Elephas maximus indicus: one gene and its partners. The protein of the gene in region 2 purifies or fractionates together with the protein of the main gene of each other region. This does not show direct contact. Links are inferred from orthologs where the notes say so. Each region holds a gene or a part of one and is shown on either strand. Other genes may lie near its edges.

Region 1 (7,804 bases), on a different chromosome or scaffold from region 2:
ATTCTCACCATCCTTGCTTCTAAGGAGCATCCTGGCTGTATTTCTTCCAAAACGAATTTGTTTGTTCTTCTGGCAGTCCATGGTATATTCAATATTCTTTGTCAACACCACAATAAGCTTACAGAACTCATCTAACTGACTACTTTAAGTACTTGTATACCTCCGTGAAAAGGGTACATACTAAGACTAAAATCGGATTACCAATCCTGTGAAATATTTTTTTTACATTCAAAAATTTAGCAAAAATATACCCTAAAAAGTCATCAATCTGTACAGCCATACTCACATCCCCCAAAAAGGAGAGATTTAAAAACTTTTAATGCAATCCTTTATGTGACAAGAATATCAAAGGTGGTGTAAACAGTTAACCTGTTCTGCTGATAACTGAAAGGCTGGAGATTTGAATTCACCCAGAGCTGCCTCAGAAGAAAGGCCTGGTGATTTACTTCCAAAAAATCAGTCACTGAAAACCCTGTGGGGCACAGTTCTCTTCTGGCACGCATGGAGTCACGATGAGTGGCAACCAACTCCAGGGTAACTGGTTTTTAACTGTTTAAGTTCAACATTTCCATTAAGGAAATGAAATGAGGAATTAGACATTAGGAAATTGATTTATTCACATACTAGTCAAGGGGTAAGCCATGGTGTTTCCAATCGCCTCATATGCACGTGAAAGCTGGATAACAAATAAGGAAGACCAAAGAGGAATTGATGCCTTTGAATCATAGTGTTGGCAAAGAATATTGAATATACCATGAACTGCCAAAAGAACAAACAAACCTATCTTGGAAGAAGTACCGCCAGAATGCTTCTTGGAAGCAAGGATGGCAAGACTTCGTCTCACATACTTTGGACAAGTTATTCAGAAGAGATCAGTCCCTGGAGAAGGACATCATGCTTGGAAAAGTAGACTGTCAATAAAAAAGGGGAAGACTTTCAAGGAGATGGATTGACACTGTGGCTGTAACAATGGCCTCAAGCATAACAATGATTGTGAGGATGGCACAGAACCAGGCAGTGTTTCGTTCTGTTGTACACAAGGCCACTATGAGTCAGAGCCAGCTAGAAGGCACTTAACAAGATCTAAAAACACAGATTTTTTAAAAATCAAATTACTGTAACTTTCTAATACTAATACAATTTTGTTAACATACCACAGGCCTCTTGCTACATACTAAAATGAAAGGAACCCTACAAAGGAAAACAAAGATGCAGTATGGGGTAGTGATCACGCATGGAATCACCGGATGCTGCCCCTCTGTAGAGCTTGCGTGCTCATCCTTTAGGGGCCTCTCCTTATCTGTAAAGTCAAGATGGTAACAGTGCCCATTTCATGTGGTTAACGCAAGGATTAAATGAGTTAACGCATGGAAAGCACATAGAGCAATGCCTAGGAAATAATGAACCAAACCCACTGCCATCAAGTCGATTCTGACTCACAGGGACCTTATAGGACAGAGTAGAACTGCCCTATAGGGTTTTAAAGGAGTGGTTGGTGAATTCGAACTGTTGATCTTTTGGTCAGCAGCTGAGCTCCCTTAGCCTCAGCTTAAATGTTCAATAAATGTTAGTTAATATTATGATTATAATGGTAATTATTCAAATATCTCAAACGTCTCCAGCTGTTAGGAATTTACTCACATCCTTCCCCACTCAGTAAAATGTACAAAATACTGTTTTTCAGTCCTTATAAAGTAAGCATTCAACTAAAGAGATCTGTATATTCTTATTAAGACCATCAGCCAGGTAGGACCTGGAGAATAGTCTAAAGCTACTCTCAGAAATTTTACATTGAAATAACTACTAAAAAAAACTACTAATCAACTACAATTAAGTAGTATTACAACTGCAACATTTCATATTCAATACCTCTAGAGTTCAACAGTCAAAGTATCCTTATTTTTTGACTTGCTTGTAAACATTTTAAGGATTTTTAAGTCAATCTGCTTAAAAATATTTCTCTTTAGCTAAAAAATTGAGATACTCAATAATAAAAGTTAAAATAAGTCCTCAAAAAGCTGAAACCACAACTCCATATATAAAGAGTTTGCAATTTGCTATCCTAGGCAAATGGATTATTATGTAAGAATTCGGTTAGCTCACCTTTTTCAAGACAATGCCAGCAATGTCTTCCCCAACATACTATGGAATAGAATTAAGTCCTAAGAGTTTACTGGAAACCTTGACCTATGTTTTCAAAAACTCCCAAACGTCCCAAACAGACATTTACGTTTCGTGGTTACAGGTGGCTCCAACCTTCGATAAGGTACCCCGTCCTGCAGGCTGGATCCTGGCCGAGCCCAGCACATGCCAGCCTTGCATGAGATGCTGCAAGGACGACAGTGGTGTGCGGACAGACACCTGGTCTACTTAGGTTCACTGGCCGGGACACCTGAAACACCAGGTCCCCCAGAGGACAAGGAGCAGGAAGACGGCCGGCACAGGACAGCCTTGTGCGACCACAAGGTGTCTCCGTCGGCGCCAGCGTCCCGGCCGTGCTAGTTGAGCCATTCTACTAAGTTCACTAAAGAAACGTCCTGTTTCCAGGGCTGTTTACAACCCTCGTTTTAATAAGGGGTCAAGTATCTCGGAAAAAATTCACAGAATGATGTTTTGAGAACATCACACTATCCCACACTAATACGAAATAGACTTTTATTTATGAAGAGTTTCGTTTCTACCTGGAAGCACAACGCTTCTCTAATAAAGTCTGAGTAAGCTTTTCAGGAACTGAGCTTACAGTCTCAGATACGGAAATGGCCGCAAAGTTTTGGGAAAAGGCTTCCAATTCCCCCGTCCGCGTCTCGCCGTTTCGCGCTCCTTGAAAAGAGGAAACCACGCGCGAACCTGCCGCCCACGGAGCCCGCCGCCGGGGCCTGACTCCCGGACCGCCCCGTTTTCAGGGAAGGCGCCAGGGTGAACCGCCGCCGGGCAGCCGAGCACGTCCGGGGCCGGGGCGCCGTGAGGGCGCGGAGGAACAGAACTTCTCCGGAAACTCCCGGCGGCGGCGCCCCTCGGACCGGCCGCGGCTCCCCTCGGACCGGCCGCGGCCTCGGGCTGGCGGCGCCCACAGCTCCGCCCGGCCGCCGCGGGACCCGCCCGCCGCCCGCCTCCCGCCGCCTCCTCACCTTTGGGGACTGCGCTCCGGGGGCGGACGGGTCGCCGTCGCACAGGCGCGGGGACAGCGCCGACCCGGGGCCGGCCGCCGCCGCCATCAGCCCGAGCGCCCCGCGCCGCCGCCGTCGCCGCCGCCGCCGCCTGGTCCCGGCAGCTGCCGCCGCCGCCGCTGCCGCCGCCGCGCGGAGAGCCCGCCGCGCCCCGGGCCCCGCCCCCTCGGCCACCCCCGCCCGCCCGCCGCCCGGGGGCCGGCCCCTGCCGCCGCGCGCCCCGCGGCCCGCCGCCGCCATGGCCGCCGCCACCGCCATGGCCGCCGCCAGCGCCGCGCCGAGTGCCGCCGCCGAGAGGGCCGGAGAAGCAGGAGGCGACGCGGAGCCGGCGAGCGATGGCGGACGCTCTCGGCCCCCTCCTCACGTCACCCTCCCCTCCCACCGCCCTGCCGGCAACGCGGCCGCCGAGCCCCGCCCCGCCCGCCAGACGCAGGCCCTCCCTCGGCCCGGAAGCTCCTGGCAGCCCGGACCCTCCCCTCAGCCCGGACCCTCCCCTCAGCCCAGACCCTCCCCTCGGCCCGGACCCTCCCCTCACAGACCCTCCCCTCGGCCCGCACCCTCCCCTCAGCCCAGACCCTCCGGTCGGCCCAGACCCACCCCTCGGCCCGGCCCCCTCGCGGCCCAGGCCCTCCCCTCACAGACCCTCCCCTCACAGACCCCCCCCTCAGCCCGGACCCTCCGATCAGCCCGGACCCACCCCTCGGCCCGGCCCCCTCACGGCCCGGGCCCTCCCCTCACAGATCCTCCCCTCAGCCCGAACCCTCCGGTCGGCCCAGACCCACCCCTCGGCCCGGTCCCCTCGCGGCCCGGGCCCTCCCCTCACAGACCCTCCCCTCACAGACCCTCCCCTCACAGACCCTCCCCTCAGCCCGGACCCTCCGGTCAGCCCGGACCCACCCCTCGGCCCGGCCCCCTCACGGCCCGGGCCCTCCCCTCACAGACCCTCCCGTCAGCCCGGACCCTCCCCTCGGCCCGGCCCCCTCGCGGCCCGGGCCGTCCCCTCAGGCCGGACCCTCCCCTCGGCCCGCACCCTCCCCTCAGCCCGGACCCCGCCGTCACGGAGCCTCCCCTCAGCCTGCCCTCCTCGTCGCCCGAGCCCTCCCCTCACGAACCCTCCCCTCAGCCCACACCCCCTCGGCCCGCACCGTCCCCTCAGCCCGGACCCCCCCGTCACGGAGCCTGCCCTCAGCCCGTCCTCCTCGCCGCCGGAACCTTCCAATCACGGACCCTCCCCTCGGCCCGGACCTTCCCTCACGGACCCTCCCCTCAGCCCGCACTATCCCCTCAGCCGAGCCCCCTCACGTATCCCCCCCACGGCTCCGCCCCACCGCCCGTCCCAGACCCTCCCCTCACGGCCGGGCATCTCAACCTGGACCCTCCCCTCAGCCCGGCCCCCTCGCGGCCGGGACCTTCCCCTCACGGACCACCCCCGAGGCCCCGCCCCTCCACCTAGCCCCGCCCCCAGTTCCGCACCCTCAGCCGGACCCGGCGCTGCGCTTCCCGCACCCCTCAAGGCGGGCGCGCTCCTAGGCCCCGCCCCCTCTTGCCGCTGCTCTGCGTCCCGGCGCACTTCCGGCCCGCCTCTCTCCTCAGCCGGTTGCCCCCTCTCCGCGCCACCGCAGCCCGCGGGACCGACCCCTCCCCACGTTACTCTCTCCCTATTGTCCGCCCGTCAGCGCCCGCGGAGCCGCGCCGCTCCCGTCAGTGCTCGGACCCGGGAACGAGCCGTCACCGGTCCCACGGTGCCCTCAGGCCCCGGCCCCGCAGTCCCCGGTCCTAGCGCTGCCCCGCCTCTCCTCGCGACCGGCCCGCAGCCGCCTCCCGCGCCGTCTTTGTTCTCGCCGCCCGCTTCACGCAGACCCGGGAGCAGCCCTGGCGGCCGGCGGCTGAGGCGCTCCCGCGTGCGGCCCAGCGCGCGCCCACCCAGGCTCGGCGTGCGCACGCGGCGTCCGGGAGCGGCGGGAGCGGGGGCGGCGTCCGGGAGCGGCGGGCGCGAGCACACACGCCCTCAGCGCTGCCCGGCCCTGGCTCCGCGCGCCCGGCTCTCACGGGTGGCTCGTCAGGGTCACTGCAAAGCGCACTGCGCAAGCCCGTTGAGAGTAAACGGCGGCTCTCCGTTGCGGACTGAATCTATTACCACCCCTAGTCCTCCGGCCTCACGAGGCACTTCCAGGACTTCTCTAGAAAAGCAGAATGTTGGGGACTCAACCTTAACACGTGGGAGACAACTGTGACTGTCTCCGGAACTGCCAGAAATGAGTCAAAGCTGACCTCTCAGCAGGCGCTTGACTGTCAGAGTGTAGATGAGACGTTAGTCCGGGCAACTGGATTTAAAGTACAACATGGCTTCTCTCTCATTCATATTTTTGCCTACACGCAGCAGCCAAAAGTCTTGAGAGACATGAATGATTTTTTGTCCATCACGTTAATACAAACCACCCTCATTTACCCTCCCAGCCCACCCTTCCCGGGCCTTCTCACTTGCATCAAATCAGAGACGGCATCACCAACAACTTCAGGCTCCGGAACTTCTCCTAATTCAGACTTCGCTTTCTCCCACAACCTCAGTCAGACCTGCTCCCCGCCCTATTCCAGGAGCCCACGGTGGAAAACGGCCTGAAGTCCAGGCAAGAAGCTGAGAGTGAAGGTCGCAGATGCAGCCTTCCACCCACTCCATCCGGCCCCACCTCGCCCCAAAATTCTCTTCACTGTTCAGGGGACTCGGTCAGATTTCCGTGCAAAGAGCTTAATGTTAAATTATTCAGTTATTTTGCCCTACTCTTCTTAGCTATTCTGTCTCTAGACCAAATACGAATATAAAACATTTCATTTCAACAAATACTCAGACTACCAATGTGCAAGACAGGGAAGAGCACTAAGGAGGCAATTCTGAGTGACCTATTATTTTAGCTAGTTGCTGTCAGTGAATTGTGGAGACCCATGTGAATCAGAGTACAACCGTGCACCATAGAGTTTCCAATGGCTAATTTTTCAGAAGTAGATCACCAGGCCTTTCAAGGCGCTGCATGATGGGTTTGAACCACCAGCCTGTAGGTTAGCAGTCGAGTACAAACCATCTGTGCTACCCAGGGACTTCTTTTAAATGTATAGGGAAATGAAAAAAGTTGTAAAGCTAGTATTTATTTAGTATGTTTGTAATTTAAAACAGCAAAAACATTGAGAGTTCTTTGTTTAAAAAAAAAAGAGTAATGTGAACCTTGCTTGCCTTCTCATTCTATAACTTATCTTTCCTATACCTTGATAAATTGTCATACTCTTTTCTAAGTTTGGGTCAGCTTCCAACAAGTTCTCATTTGTATTTTCAATGTCGTGAATGCCTCCCAGAGTTTCCTCAATGTGGAGTTGCTCCATGTGGATATGGTCCCCTTTTGTCATGACTCTCCTGCGAGCTCTGGGTGCAGACGCCTGCAGTGTCATCACCTGCGCTAGCAGCTTACCAGATAGCCTGACATGAATCAATCATGCTGACTTCTGAAACAAGACCGGCCTTCACTGGCAGTAAAAGGTTCAGTCTCTTTATAATTACTGTTTTCTTTCAGTGGGACAACTGATTTCCACACTTTGTCCTGAGTGCTAATCAAACTGTCTGGTATTTATTATTATTATTATTAATGCAGTCTTCAAGCCAAGGTAGAAGAAAGTCTCCATTTCAATTGTGAACAGCTTTCTGTTCCTAGTGCAATTAAGCTAAAAAATACCGAAGCAACGTTACCTTGTTTTTTATATTCACTGCACTTTTTCCCGATGTTCCTACATTACCTTCACACAGGCCTAGATCTCATCCTGTCTTTGCTTTGCTGTCCTCATTTTGAAATCTCCTAATCACATCCAAATTTCCCTTCCAACTTTATCACTTTTTGTTTCTTTGCTGTACATTTTGACCTTTTTGGCCAGTTCCCCCTTTGGATTACCCATTTTTAATAAAACATCAAGTGGGTATATCACTGGGAGATGAGGAGGCAGCATAACTACACACTCTACTGTTTGTGCAAACTGAAGCCCTGAGTGCAGACACGCAGCGACCAACCTGACGGACTTCAAAAGAGGAGCATGACACACATCTGTTATCTCCATATGTGATCTGTGGATCAAAGAGCCAGCTGTGAAGTTTACCTTATGCAGTTTCTCACAGTTAATACACCATGGCAACTGAGATTTGGGCCATGTTGTTGGGGGACTAGTGTTATTTAGCTAAATGATGGTAACTAAAATTTATGCATATCAGAACACTGAAAAGCAAGTACTGCCTTATTAAATGGGTCTTCTATGTGGATACTTAAGTCACTAAGAATGGTGGCAGGAGTTGGGTAAAGAAGATTGTGATCCAGTAACACAAGTCTTCAAGTAATGAGAAGGAATAAGCCAGGGGACTACAGGCAATTGCAGCAAATGGAGGCAAAGGATTATGTATCCACAGGCCATAAATGCCAAGGAGCTAGAGAGTTTTAACAACAAAGACTCTACAGCATTAGGGAGAGAAAGAAAATACAGCTCTCATCTCAGAGGGCTGCAGTGGACCTCTTCCTTATGGCGAGTCAGCTTGTTTATAAGGAAAGAGCCTCAAAATACATCTGGAGGAGGGTTGGGAATACAGGGGACTTTGTGGACCCATGTAA
Region 2 (7,741 bases):
TGCATTCAGATGTTTTCTCAGCAAAGAAAGGGATGAATTACAGACAACATGCTAGGAATTTTCCTATCTAAGCTTATAATCTCAGAATTTCCATGGTACACTGCTGCAAATACAAACGCCATATATTGTGATTCATAGTATAAAGGTTGAGAAGCAAAGTGATGATTAACTCAAAAAGACAGTGACCTTTTCTTCCTAGAAGCTTAAAAACAAAGTAAATGTGGCAAGTAGAGAAACAACCATTAAAAAAAAAAGATAACTCTTTAACCTTGGTGCAGGATCGGAGTGTTACAGGAATTCTAAGGAGGGAGAGTCTTCCCTGTTGGACTGACCAGAAAGTGCCATGAGGAGAAGACAGGAGTGTAGTACTCTAGAACTAGCATACCACATAGATAATTCAATGAAAGAAAAAAAAAAAAAAAAAACGATAAATGTGGAGTGCTAAGAAAAGCACAATGTGAAAAAGGCCAAGAGGTGGGAAAGTGTTAACTGTCTTGGAAGAAAAGATGAACATGATAAATTTGAAAACTCAAATGAAGTCTTCAATGCTAAATGAAGGAGTATGGAATTTAAACTATCCAAGGTTTTGAGTAGAGAGAGATCATGTTTACATCAGCATTTTAGGGAAAAAAGTACAGCACTAGTATGTGGCATGGAATGAAAAGGGGAAGCTAAATTAGGAGGCTACTATAACTATTTCAGGGGAAAAAAGGCCTGAACAAAGCTGGTGACAGTAATAAGCCAGAAGCCCTGGTGGCACAAATGGTTGAGCGCTTGGTTGCTAACCAAAAGGTTGTTGCTTCAAATCCATCCAGTGGTTCCAAAGGAGAACGGCCTGGCAATCTGCTCCAGTAAAGATAATAGCCACAAAAACCCTGTAGGACAGTTCTACCCTGTCACATGGGGTCGCTATGGGTGGGAACTGATTCAACAACAATAAGCCAGAAAGTGGGTGGTTCCAGACACACTTTCAGTTAACACTGGAATTATCAGGTCAAGGGACCCAGCTAGCAGCTAGAAGCGTAGGAAAACCTGAAGCTAACGATCTGGAAATCAGCTCCACTGGATTATGGGTGTGGGCAGGAGAGAAGAAAACTTCGGTAACCTTCCATTACCTTAATTACAGAAAAAAGATCTTCACAGATTTGCTACTAATGTTAAGTTTCTAAGAAAAACCCATATTAATCTTCTGGATTTATTATAATTCATGAACTAAAATACATTTACCTGGTTGTTGCGGTTTTCCTGCAGTGGAGAAGTAGCATCATCAGGAAAAGAGCTGACATTTCTCCTTTTCAGCATCTGGTCATCCTTCTTAGCTTTCCTCAGCTCTACATTAACTTCTATTCGGCGCCGCCTCATTTCCTTGAGTAAAGAAAAGAAACATTGTTTCACCTTATTAATAATTTTCATTATCAAGTGAGGGCGTTTTTAATTCCCTCAAGTTTTTGATCCCTTGCCAAACATCTTCCCATTAAAAAGTATCATAAGAAAGCAACAGAAGGTACTCACTGTACTGTCTTTCCCCTTGTTCTTGAATCTGTTAAGCCGGGCAGCTGGTGAATTAGCATTCTCATTGGTGGACATGGTTGTGAAACAAAGGAAGAAAGCTAGATTGGGGGGTGGAGGAGAGAAAAAGAAACTCCCTTTTATCATTTTGCCTTTGCAATAATAAAATTTCCAAGCATATATTGAATCCACACTTCTATACTGGAGAAGGAATTTCACGTTTTCAGCATTACAAGATCGTTTTGGCCAAACAATAACCGCACCCCCCCCCCCCCCCCGCCCGCCCGCCCGCCCGCGGACAAGAGCTAAGAGTTTAACCAGTGTTGTCCATCAGAAATACAAAGCAAACCACAGAATTTTAAATTTCCTAGTAGCTGTATTATAAAAAGGCGATGATAAACAGATTAATCTTATTTAAGCCAAAACATCACTTAAACATGTTACCAATAGTAAAAAATGAGACATTTTTAATTCTTTTACATAGTCTTTGAAATCCACGGTGTAATTTATGTTTACAGCACACCCCAATTCTGACTACGCACATCTCAAGAGTTCAATAGCCACATGCAGCTGGCAACAACCATACTGGACATCGCAGCTCTAGACTCTCGCGGGTCCAAAACAGCTAAGTGAAGACAAAGTGGGGGAACCGAATTAACTTGCAGTTAAGACCCACGTCCACCTGGCAATAAATTCAGATCAACTGGAGGCTCTCTCCAGGAGTCTTCCTACTTTCATTGGTTTCAAATGGCCATAAAAAAGAGTGCATTTTCCACATTTGAAAATTAAAATCTGACTCATCATTAAGTTATGGAGTCTGCCGTATCATTTCCTGTCAACAATGAAAACCTGCGACGCAGTCCTGCACCCTAAGCATCTCGCAAGCATTTTAATTTCCAGAATTTCGCGTTCGAACGCACTGAATTAGGCTGCCATCAGCTCTGCCTCATTCAGGCTCAGATACTAAGGAGCAATCTCCAAAAGACGACAAAAGTAAAAACCCTCCTTACAGCTTGCTATCTTTAATCCCGTTATTTTCGTCTACGACATGATTGACAATCTGCCGACTCTTGGCCTGCTTTTTTAGATACAGGTCCTCCAACTGCCACCTCCCGCCCCAGCCCCTGGCCCCCATCCCGGGGAAGACGCTGCGGGCGAGGGCGGAGGAGAGGCAGGACCTGTCCGCGACACTGGCCCTCAGGCCTGTCTCATTCTGCCTCTCCTGGCCGCGACGCACAAAGGCTTTCGCTGCCGTTAGCCGAACCTCGGAGCCCTAAAGCTCCAGCTCCCGCATCGCGAAACGAAGCCGCTTCGACAACAAACGACGCCCCAGAGGCCTTGTCAACGAGGAAGGCCGAAGCCAGCCCCAGCGTATCCCTGAGGCCGCCTCCCGCCTCCTCCAAACAGAGCGCGCCCTGCGGGCCAGCCGTTATCGCTGCGGTCGGGCTGCGGCCTGAGTTCGTACTTACGGAGCGGCCTTAGGCTTCCACAGAAGGCGGTGCGGGGAGCTCACACGCTGCGGGCCGACTGCTCCACAGTCGTCCAACACGGCTCAGACCAGAGACGGTGTGGCTCGTGCAGCCGGCCGGCGCGATTTAAATTTCCCGGTGGCTCCGCATTCCGATTGGCTGGTTCGAGCCTAAGCTATGCATCCATTGGTGGATTTGAAAAACACGTTTGGGGGGGGGTCATAGAGCTTAGGGGAATGGGAGATAACATCGCGAGACGAGAGCGGCCTGGCGATCCCAGAACGCCTTGCAGTTGCGGTCCAGAGTGGGAGGACTCCAGATCCCGGCAGGCCGCGCGAAGGGGCGGCTCCCAACCCAGCGTGTCCGGAGGCTCGGGCCGCTCTCGGCTTCCGAAAGGCATCCCTGTAGGTGCAGTCGCTGTTGGTGTTCTGGGGGGCTGTTTTGGCCAAGTACCTCAAATTATTCTGAAAGTCATTTTTGAAAAACATCTTTATGTAAAAACATTGCTATGACTTGTTTTTCCCAGATACGACACAGAAAGGAACCGGGGGTGGGGGGCGGGATTGGAGGCCTGGTGATACAGTGGTTAAGAGCTTGTCTACTAACCAAAAAGACTGCAGTTGGAATCCATCAGCTCTCCTCGGAAACCCTACGGGGCTATAGGGTCGCTATGCGTCGGAATTCACTCGACGACAACGGTTTTTTAATAGACTTTTATGATGTAATAATTTTTTTAAAACTAAAAAATGCAACGCAGATCTTCCTCACCTCCCCCTCCATAAAACCCCCTTGCCGTCCAGTCGATTCCGAAGCATAGCGACCCTAAAGGACAGAAGAGAACTGCCCCATAGGGTTTCCAAGGAGCTTTTAGTGGATTGGAACTGCAGACCTTTTGATTAACAGCTGTAGCTCTTAACCACTGCGCCACCAGGGCTCCAAAAGACTGTGTAAGAAGCCACAAATAAAAAAGATTATGCTTGTTTCTCCACACACGCATTCTCAAACCATTTATTTTTAAATAACTTAAAATACATAATTGCAAATTTTTACCCATCTTACCAAATGTTAACATTTTGCTACTTTTGCTGTTTATCTGTTATAGTCATGCAGTTATATATATTAGTATACATATACACACTATGTGTATGTATATGTATGATTTTTACATATTATTTTTTGCACCATTCGAGGAAATCAACTCGACGGCAACGGGTTTTGTTTTAGGTTTTTACCCTTAAATACTTCAGCGTGTGTCTCCTAAGAATAACATTCTCCTATATAACCACACTGCATTCAAGTTCAGGAAATTGATTTTGATGCTACTTTTTAAATATACAGTCCATTTTCCAGCGTTAGTGTTGCCAATTGTTCCAGTAACGTTCTATGTTGTATTTTATACATTTCCGTATAAATGTTTGCGTTTTCTTGCCGTGTACTTTAAAAAAAAAAAATTCAACGATGGTATTGTGGGCCATTTTTGTTTTCTCTCTGCAATTTTTCTGTATTCTAAAAAAAGTTAATTTTAGAAAATTTATATTTTCTTTTTCACTACAAATAAATTCAAACTGTGAACTTTGTCCATTCTTGCATCCATGCCAGTCTCATTCATTTTGCAGTACCCACAGGGATTGTTCCTACTCACAAACTACCCAATCAGCATAACCCCCACCCCCTAGGTTCAAGAACATGGAAGGAATTCATGCCTAAACCAATGACTGCAGAGCATTCTCTTGGCTGCTGCAAAGGTTCAGTTGTGTGCACGTGACCTAAGTTCCCCCTGTTGGGAAGCCTATGCCTTTTGTTTGATGGCTGAAGGTTGGAAAGCTTGCTCTGTTCTGAGCAGAGGATGTGAGCCCTAGAAATCTGAATAAGAAAACTGTAGAGATGCCAAACCAGAGCTCTGATCAAAAGCCTGCCCTACCTCTGAAGGCTGCAATTAAATGACTTTGCAATAATTTGATCGGATACATTTTCATTATTGTTTAAGCTAGTTAAATTGGGTTTTCTGTTGCTTGAAAATAATCGTTTTATGTGCCTGGAGGTGTTCGACATGTTTATACACATGAACACATTTCATATCCACAACTCTGCAAGGTTGTCTGTAACGTTTCACATAAGACTAAATCACTAGCGGTTAAGAATCTTATCCAGGGTCACACAGCCAGTAAATGACAGAGACAAGACTCAGACCCAGGAAGTCTGCTTCCAGGACCCATGCTCTCAACCACTTCCATACTTGCACCTGAAAGCAGATACACATCGAAAGTGAAGGATGCAGGTGGACACTTGGGACTGTGTTGGCATCTCCTGCCTGGAGGGGGGACGGGAGGGTAGAGAGGGTTGGAAGCTGGCAAAAGTGTCACAAAAGGAGAGACTGGAAGGGCTGACTCATTAGGGGGAGGGCAAGTGGGAGTATGGAGTAAGGTGTATATAAACTTATATGTGACGGACTGACTTGATTTGTAAACATTCACTTGAAGCTCAATAAAAATTAAAAAAAAAAAAGTGAAGGATGCCTTTGAAAGATACAATGTTGCCTCAGGGAACCATGAGTCTCCCCCCTCCCCAGCCACTGAAGTTTGGATGTGCTGCCTGCAGCTCCAGATTCAGAAAAGGAGCCTGTCTGTCCTAAGCCAATCAGCACGTCCCATTTCCCAGACACAGGGATTGGTTAGGGATGAAGATGTGGCATGGTGCAACAACACTTATACTAAGGCTGCCAAGAGAGAGAAGTCCTTTTTCTTCCACCGGAAGTGTGCTGGGATGACAGGAGCCAGAGGTGCAAATCCAAGAGGTGGATCGTGGCAATATTGCCTGAATCATTCCAAGCCTGAAGCTGGTTCTGCCCAGGGGCTCTCTGGTTACATCATTTGATAAATTCCCCTTTGTGCTGAGCCAATTTGAGTGCTGTGTCACTTGCATCCAAAAGATTCTTAACTGACACTAGGATTCTTAACCTACACTAGCACTATAGTGTAAGCTCCATGAGGACAAGGGTTTTTATCTATTTTGTTCACTACTGAATTGTCAACACCCTTAACAGTGTCTAGCACATGAAGTTGCACAATAAATATTTGTAGATGAGTGAATGCTTGAGTAGAAACTTGACTATACAGGCCTCAGTCTCAAAAGATGCTGTCAGGAAATTTAAATTTGGGATGGCATAAATGCTCTCTGAAGCCAGGGGCTTGAATAAGTTATCTAGCAGACAGTAGGTACGTGCAGGTTTAATAAAAGAGATTAAGCCAAGTCGTACACCAATAGATTGGGCAGATCGCATGCTTGGTAAGACATATGGCTCCTTACATACACAAAAAAGAGCTTCTATCCATATTTTATAACCAGATAATCATATAATCAATAACCAGATAATTTTCTAATCAATAAGAAAATGACCAACAACTTTATAGAAAAATGCCAATAGAAAAATGGGCATGGTTACAGAAGAAGAAATATAAGTGACTTATAAATAAATGAAAATATCAGATTTCACTAAGAAAAGCAGTTTTTAAAAATGAGATACTGTTTTTGTCATTTTGGTGGCCAATAACATTTAGTGTAGTAGGGATTTGGCAGCAACGCGACGGGAGTAGGGATTTGAAGAAATAGATAGCTTTTCATATGCTGTTGGTGGGAATGCAAAATAGAACATTTCTGGCAGATCTACCAATATAAAAAAGGTACTAGATCAAAGGAGAATGAAGAACACCAAGGACACAAGGTGATTACGAGCCCAAGAGACAGAAAGGGCCACATGAACCAGAAACTACATCATCCTGAGACCAGAAGAACTAGATGGTGCCTGGCTACAACCGATGACTGCCCTGACAGGGAACACAACAGAGAACCCCTGAGGGAGCAGGAGAGCAGTGGGATGCAGACCCCAAATTCTCATAAGACCAGACTTAATGGTCTGAGACTGGACGGACGCTGGTGGTCATGGCCCCCAGACCTTCTGTTGCCCCAGGACAGGAACCATTCCTGAAGCCAACTCTTCAGACAGGGATTGGACTGGACAATGGGTTGGAGAGGGATGCTAGTGAGGAGTGAGCTTCTTGGATCAGGTGGACACTTGAGACTAGGTTGGCATCTCCTGCCTGGAGGGAGATGAGAGGGTAGAGGGGGTTAGAAGCTGGCGAAATGGACACAAAAAGAGAGTGGAAGAGAGTGGGTTGTCTCATTAGGGGGAGAGTAATTGGGAGTGTGTAGCAAGGTGTACATGGGTTTCTGTGTGAGACTGACTTGATTTGTAAACTTTCACTTAAAGCAAAATAAAAATTATTAAAAAAATTTTAAACATGTATATATTGTATAACAAGTAATCTCATTTCTAGGAAACTACCTTATACTATACTGGCATACATACAACAAAGTATATGCAAAGGTATGTTCATTGCCATATTGTATAGTGCACCAAAAAGCTGGAACCTAAATGTTCCTTAATAAATATAGTGGTTATCTGATATGTTTTGTTCTTTCTGTCAGTTCTGGTTAGAGTAGATTTGCCAATGAAGCACAAGCTTGAGGGTCTGTCCTTCACACAGCCCCCTTCCCAGGCCCTGGGAAGGTCCTAAAACTTTGTTTGCCTGGTCTTTTTTTTTTTTAAACAATTTCCAAAAGCTGGAGGTTAGAAGTAAGAATTCAGGGTGTGAGCAGGGCTATGCATACTCTCAGTCAGCTCTGAGGACAGATCCTTCCTTGTCTCTTTCAGCTTCTGGTATCCCCGGGCATTTCTCGGCATTCTTTGCCTTATAGACAGATCC
Region 3 (7,479 bases), on a different chromosome or scaffold from region 2:
ATGCCTCCTGGATTTTTGATTATCATGAAACATACGGAAACCCTGGTGGCATAGTGGTTAAGTGCTACAACTGCTAACCAAAAGGTCGGCAGTTCAAATCCACCAGGCGCTCCTTGGAAACTCTATGGGGCAGTTCTACTCTGTCTTATAGAGTTGCTATGAGTCAGAATCAACTCGATGGCAATGGGTATTTTTGGTTTTATGTAACATACATTAATGGGTAGAAATTGTGTTATTTTTTAAAGTCTCCTGATGTAATCTGAAAACAAGAACTAAGATCTTTTAAAGTTGACCATTTTGTTTCATCAGGCATTAACCAAGAGCCTATAGCGAAGGACAGAAAGTAATGGGCAATAAAAGGACTAAAGAAGTAAGTTACTTACAAAACAATCTAATGAGAAATCTCAGGGACTAACATACTTTGTAATTTAAATCTAAAATACTCCATAACTACAAAGAGGTAAACTTATTTTGTCAATAAAAATATAATGGAAAGTTTAAAGGCAATACGAAATAGTTAGAAAACACAAAAAAAGAATTAAATTATAGCACACAAAACAAAAGTTAGAGGTTAAGAGAGAAAAAAGGTTATTCAGGAAAAAACTTAGTGTTCAGTTAATGGTAAGTAAGCTTTTAAGCAAAAGAAAGTGGCTCATAGAACAGCTTGCTCATATAGAAATGCAAATACTCGGTATCAAAGAAAAACATCTTGGAAATTAGGGTCTCTTTACATTCTCTGAAAGGCCTCAGCAAAACAGAGGCAAAGAAGTGCAATGTCAGTGAATTAACACAAAAAGCAAAGTGAACAGGAACATTTAACAGTAGAGTGAAAGGAGGACCACCAACTTTGTGGGGAAAAAGAATAAAAAATTAAAGAGGAAATATAAGAAATTAAACTGAGTAAGATATGAAACATGATAGTCTGTCAATGAATCAAATGTTAAAGGTAAAATAGTAAATACTAGGTCAGTTACAGCAGTGACCTGCAGATTAAGGACTTACTCAAATCTTACTCAAATGCAAGTCCACAAGTGAAATGACTTCTAGAGGTGGAGGTTGAGGGTCCAGAAAAATGTGTCTTCTGTTAATCCCCTAAGTATTAATTAGGCTCAATGTAAGGTTAGAAGATAGCGTAACTCTTCCAGGCCTGTGGACAAACAGTATCTCCAAAGCACTTAGCGTTCACCTCTGAAAATGTTACAATCCTCTTGCAGATGAGAATATCAAACCTCATTCTTTCAAACAAGCACAGTTCTTGGGACTCTCAAATTAATATTAAATGGTGGGAGATGTGTACAGTGGCTTATTTTAAAGAATGCTCCCCCTCACCATCCTACATTACCTCTCAGAAATTCAACCCTTCACATAAAATGTCAATTTTTTCCTATTTCAACTAAAGCTCTGCAGTGGTGGTTACGATAATGCCAAGATTTCTCCACCCCATCACCCAGCAATGCTGCAGAGAAGGCTGCCCTGGGAAACACAAGATCTGTGTTTCCTGGTAAGTCACGATCAGCTCGGCAGATTCATTTTCTATCTAGTATTTAAATGGATTTTGTTAATTTGAGAAGTGATAAAACCAAAGGCCATATGCACAGGTTAGATTAAAGCATGGAGAAGGTGTGAACTGTACAAGTACCCATATATTGCTCCATCAAATGCCTTATCCCAATCCATTACTCCTTTGCTATTTCAGTTTTAAACCTTCCTCCAAGCCTGTGCCTATCTCTTTTTGGCCACTGTTCTTCATCATGACATGCCACTCTTGCAACATAGATCTTCTTAAATGGCAACTATCGTTTTTCTTATCATAACTTTTTCCCCTCTCAAGGGGTGGGATCATTCCAAAATATTAGGAATGGGGAGCTTCCCATACTCAGGCCCTTCGAGGCTGACTGCAATTTATTCTGAAATCTAGCTGGTGACCAAGGCAGAAGAAATGCATAAGTAGAAGTCATCATCTAAACAACTAGCAGAGGACATTACCCAAATCACAAACTCACCTTCTAGTATCTAAAGTGCCTTGCACCAGATAGGACCTCAGTTGCTGCTAAGGATAACCCAAACAGTCAGTGAGTCTCTGACTGAGTTCACAGGCTCAGAGCAACAAGGAGATTAAACGATCCGCCCATGCTGGTGTGATGAAGGCCTGCAGCAGACACTGATCATGCAACGCCTCTGGCTGTGTACTTGGTGTGCTCCCCTATATCTGCTCTTTAAAAAAAGACATTGAATTCCAAGTCTTTGACTACTGGCTGGCTCACCGTGCCCAATCACTGAAATGAGACTGGATCACTAAATATACGTGTGTGTGTACGTCTTCTTCGAAGACCTTAATCACTTCAGGCCTGCTCCAAAAAAGGCAGAGGCTGCTGCATTTGCACAGCCGCTGCACTGGGCGGAGAAATTCCCTGCGACACTACACACAGGTAAATAAAGAAACTGCATTTGCCCCGAGGCAAGAAGAGGGGTCTTCTGCCTGGGGAGAGTTTACATAATGCACCATAAACCCACTGAACTCTGCATATGTGTCAAAGGAGATGCAAGGCTTGCGCTCCTCTCTTCCCACCATGTCTAAACACACTCCAACAGCTTGCCCTTTTCTCCCAGAAGACCCACAGAAATTGTACCTAAGAATGTACAGCAACCTGCGCACGCTCACCCTATGCTTTCTTACTCACCTCTATTATTTAAAAAAAAGGGGCGGGGGGGGAGAAAAAGAAACCTAACCTCCCACTTCTGAGTCCAAAGTATGGAGTAACCAAACAGAGTCGGGGAGTTTACCCTCCCCTGAAGGAGAAAGGAGAACAAGGAGCTGCCTCAAATCTATACCACGCCCAGTAATGCAATGACAAGCCTTAAAAAAGCAACAGCGGCCCGGGCAGGCCCCTCACGGGTTGGCCGGACTCGGGCCCCGCGGGCCCGCAGGCACCCTCTTCCCCTGGCCTCTCACAAAGAAGAATGGTTCAGTCCAGAGCATCACCCAACACCTGATTCCTCACAAGTGGGGGACAGGCGGGGGGCGGGAGCGGAAGGAGGATAATGAGTTAATGAAATTAATTCTAAGAGCTTTAGCTTTTGCTAGGACTCGTGGAGCAGCACTGAGAAGTCCATGTGAGCGGGAAGCCTACCTGAACAAGTCCTGGTGCTTCTTTTCCAGCCCCGTTTCAACTCACCCTTTCGGAGAACAAGGCGCTTTCCGGCGGAGCATGGCCAGCTCTCGTCTCAACCGAGCTTGCTAGTAGTCCATTCTCCCTCGGCTCCGCCCACCTGCCCTCCCACCCACCAATGGCAAGGCTGAAGCCCGGCCTCTTCCAGCATGGTAGTGTGAGCGCCATCCAGGAAGTCTCCTGTGAGTGGGAGGTCCTAAAAGGCTGGGAAGGGTACGTAGGCAACCACAGATATGCCTGATTGAAAATAAAAATCTGGCGGCAGCTCGTCTCTGATGGCTCAGTTCACAGGCGCTCAGGCCTTTCGGCATCTTTTTTTTTTTTTTTTTTAGACCCCGGCCGTTGGGGGCGCTCTAAACTAAAACATTTAGTTACCTGTGTCTAGGAAGCCATCTTGGCTCAGGCTGGTGCCTTGGGGGCGGGGAGAGGGAAGGAGTGTTTGAGCAATATGAAGTCATTTTCCACGTTTTACCCGACTACTCGGGACCAGCCCCAACATTCTCACCTTTATATAATCAGGATGTAACCTCAATCATTATAGGGGAGAGACTCTGTAATGCCGAATATGGTTAGAAGCAACCGTATCACCCTCCCACTTAACTGCACAAGTGAAGCAATTTTACCATTGAAAGCAAAAACCAATTCTTCAGATGAGACTGGGTGCTCCCAGTTCCTGGAATAATCCTTTATAGACACCTCACTCCTCAGAGCATCAGCACATAACCAACATAGGTTATGTATCTATTCTAAAAAAAAAAAAAACTATTCTAGATGCTTCTAAATCTTATGCTGCTCTTGCAAAATTTCCAGTGTTCTGACTTGACAGTTCCAGTGTTCGGACTTTGACAGCACAGAGGGTTGTGAATCAGTTGGAAATAAAGAGCTGGAAAAATTTTCAATTAAAAAAAAAAAAGAAAAATGGCCTCAAATTCATCAATGAACCACAACTACTTGTGCATGCATACAATGGAAAAGACAGAAGCCTTACACGAAAAACTCTGTGTAGGGACAAGACGGTCCTTTAGGGGGCAGCTCAGCCGTAGAAACATTGGTTGGAGGAAGTAATTTTCTACTGGCTGCTATCGACTCGACGGCGGTAGTTTTTTTTAGCTCTTAAATCGGAGAGGAAATGATTTCATTGTTAGTGAAATTTTCTTGCACTAGAAGCCTTAAACGGGAAACTATGTGTAAGGAGAAGTGGGGGGGACCTAAAGCCCTAACCTCCATTCTGAGTCCAAAGTATGGAGTAACCATAGGGGGCAGCCCGGCCATAGAAGCATTGGCTGGAGGAGGTAATTTTCTACTGGCCGCTTTTAAATCAGAGAGGAAATGATTTCATTGTTAGTGAAATTTTCTTGCACTAGAAGCCTTAAAGGAGAAGGGGGGAAAAAAAAACTAAAGCCCTAACCTCCATTCTGAGTCCAAAGTATGGAGTAACCATAGGGGGCAGCCCGGCCATAGAAGCACTGGCTGGAGGAAGTAATTTTCTACTGGCTGCTTTTAAATCGGAGAGGAAATGATTTCATTGTTAGTGAAATTTTCTTGCACTGAGTGACACTGGTTTTCCAGTATTTCTCAGTCTAAATCTTATTACAACTCACTACAAAAAGTCTTTATTTATTTATTTTTTTTAAGCCTGTAAGTGAAGGGGAAACCCTGGTGGTACAGCAGTTAAGTGCTATGGCTGCTATCGAGAGGCCGGCAGCTCAAATCCACCAGGCGCTCCTTGGAAGTTCTATGGGGCAGTTCTACTACTCTATCCTATAGGGTCGCTATGAGTCGAAATCACTCCATGGCAATGGGTTTGATTTTTTTTTTTTTTTGGTGAGCAAAAGGAGTCCCTCCAGGTCACTAAAAGAATTCTCTCAAAGAATAACACAGTCTCATGGTCATCCGTGGTAGGAGCTTAGAAACCTTAGAGTCATATGACTCAATCTTTTATCAGAGAGGTGATAAGAGTTGACCAAATAAGTTCTCCTGTATATTGAACAAAGTTTGTTGGCCAAATTCTCCCCTGGCTACTGCTGTCGTTATACCAAATTTGAGTTTGGTGTTAGGATTTACCATAGCAATGTGTTTGCAATGAATATATAGATATGATCTTATTTATTAGTAGTCTCTAGAATGAGAGTCTATTATCCTTCTAATGTTATTTGGTACAAAATGGACCCATCATCAGAGAACTAGTTACAGGTATTATAGATAGGGAATGTGCCTGGTCCAATAATTTCAGCTACTTGCAATGATCTTTTCCTGTAACTGGTATGATCTCCTGGTGGCTCAATGGTTAAAGTGATTGACTGCTAACTGAAAGGTCAACAATTTGAAATCACCAGTCACTTGCGGGATCAAGATGTGGCAGTCTGCTTCCATAGAGATTTACAGCCTTGGAAGCCCTATGGGGTCGCTATGAGTCAGAAGGGACTCAATGGCAGTGGGTTTGGTTTTGGGGGGGTTAGTTTGATTTCCAATGGTGCTGGCCTTCAAAAATCAATACTCAGATTATCTCATAATTACCATTCTTCACATGGGGTGGGAGATCCACCTTCTACGATATTTCTTCAATGTCACTTCACTTAACATCAGCAATGATCAGCACAGGCTGTGAAATTGCTTCTGTTTCTCGTGTTTCCCTTACAATTGGTGAAATGCCCAAGTACAGAGGTTATAAGTTGGCTTGGATAATAAAACTGAATATGGGAGTTAGAAGGAAGCTTTATCAATAACTTTGATAAAATTCCTTAGGAGGAGATTATTTACTTATGTTTGGGATACAATAAGAAATGACATGTACATATGAGCAGCTTGGATACATGCATACACACAGTAATGATACAATTGATCAACAACAAAAATGTTAGAAAAATTCATGAGACCTCAGTGTTGTGGAACAGAGTGGGAAATCAAGGCAAGAAGATATAGCAAGTGACCTAGAAGGCCTTGTGCGGAATGAAGCAAAAGCAAATTTTGCTAGGATAGTATTATATGCTTTTGAAAAGGAGAATGGTTGGTAAGTATCCACTTATGCTGACAGCTTGAAAACAGGCAGCCTTACTGTATGCTGCATGGAATGGAGGCAGAGGTCCTAGGAAGAGTGGAAGAGAGAAGGAAAAGAGCAATATGGGACCTAGGGTAAGCAGATAGAAGAGATTGAAACAAAGTTATCAAAGGGATGACTCTAAGGCCTTTTGTTTACTCTGAAGTCTAAAATAAACCTGTTCTAACTCTTTAAGTCAGTCAGTCAAATTCAATGATCATGTAATGAATGTAGCAGTGGGCTCTGTGAAGGAATGGTGGTGGGCGTGGAGATTTTACAAAATTGAAGGAATGACAGGAGCTTACGAACTACATGGGGAGACAGATCCTATACATAAAACAACTGTAAAACATATTTGTAAAACAACATTAATACAAATAAATATAAACAGTATAAGAAAGGTGGAGCCTAAAAGGGATACCATGTCAATAATTGCTTAGAAGTCCCTAAGTCAGTCACAGAAGTCTTCCTGAAGGAAAAAGTTTTAGACTTTGGGTATAATTTTAGCAGAAAGTAGGGTGCGAGCCAGGGCATGGAAGTGGGAGTAAATATATCATGTCCAGTAAGCAGATTAGTTCGGTTGGATTAGGAGGTTTAAATTGTCTAGTAAGAAGTGAGTATGATGCAATAGTAGCAGTCTGTTTGGTGAAAGACACTACGATGTTAGGTCTGGTCCCTGAAACAAAACAAGCAGTGAAAGAATATTTTTTTTAGTTAATGATAAGTGGTCATAGGTCCAGGACCATCTCACTGCTCTCAAAAGTTTTTTAGTCACTCTAAGGGACAGAAACTAGAAATGGGATGGTCTAGAAAAGTACTGAGCATCTTTCAGCAGTTCAGGTAGAAGGAACTGCCTTCTGGAAGATCCCTCAGGAAGTGGCAATTGGACCCCCAAAGGCAAGTAAGTTAAAAAATCAATGAAATTTCTAGGCAGGGGATCTAACACCCACAGCTCACTAAATCCCAGTATTCTCAAGCGATGAAGCAGAACATCCTTGACCCTTGTTACTAATTCTTGTTGGGGAGCAGAATGGGTATGCTTATAAAATAATTTATTTGTGGACTACAGTGACTATCAGCTTTGATCTTAACGTTTTAGAAATTAAAATAGGGGGACGAGAAAAGCCCTAAGCTATAGGGAATGCTTACATCCCTGAAGAATTATAGGTCAGTTTTAAGGGCCCAAATCCTTCTCTGGTCCTTAAGGGAAAAGGCAAAACATCACACCTTACAGAGAGTATTCTCTCAGCCAAAGCAAGCAAGACCTCTTCC

Evidence for each region.
Region 1: the proteins of KPNA2 (region 2) and PHF10 purify together in Homo sapiens (co-immunoprecipitation; 3 studies listed by BioGRID and IntAct, with this or other methods). This does not show direct contact. The link is inferred for Elephas maximus indicus from reciprocal best matches to the Homo sapiens genes KPNA2 and PHF10.
Region 3: the proteins of KPNA2 (region 2) and CHD8 purify together in Homo sapiens (affinity purification with mass spectrometry; 4 studies listed by BioGRID and IntAct, with this or other methods). This does not show direct contact. The link is inferred for Elephas maximus indicus from reciprocal best matches to the Homo sapiens genes KPNA2 and CHD8.

The regions. Positions count from the first base shown.
Region 1 is NC_064819.1:242,847,599-242,855,402, forward strand, and holds the start of PHF10 (PHD finger protein 10), read right to left. Parts: upstream 3,239-7,804; 5' UTR 3,216-3,238; coding exon 3,129-3,215; intron 1-3,128. UniProt on the Homo sapiens protein: Involved in transcription activity regulation by chromatin remodeling. Belongs to the neural progenitors-specific chromatin remodeling complex (npBAF complex) and is required for the proliferation of neural progenitors.
Region 2 is NC_064837.1:55,934,778-55,942,518, forward strand, and holds the start of KPNA2 (importin subunit alpha-1), read right to left. Parts: upstream 3,093-7,741; 5' UTR 2,979-3,092; intron 1,611-2,978; 5' UTR 1,588-1,610; coding exon 1,513-1,587; intron 1,366-1,512; coding exon 1,228-1,365; intron 1-1,227.
Region 3 is NC_064828.1:31,812,705-31,820,183, forward strand, and holds the start of CHD8 (chromodomain-helicase-DNA-binding protein 8), read right to left. Parts: upstream 3,239-7,479; 5' UTR 3,177-3,238; exon of another isoform or gene 3,132-3,176; intron 1-3,131. UniProt on the Homo sapiens protein: ATP-dependent chromatin-remodeling factor, it slides nucleosomes along DNA; nucleosome sliding requires ATP. Acts as a transcription repressor by remodeling chromatin structure and recruiting histone H1 to target genes.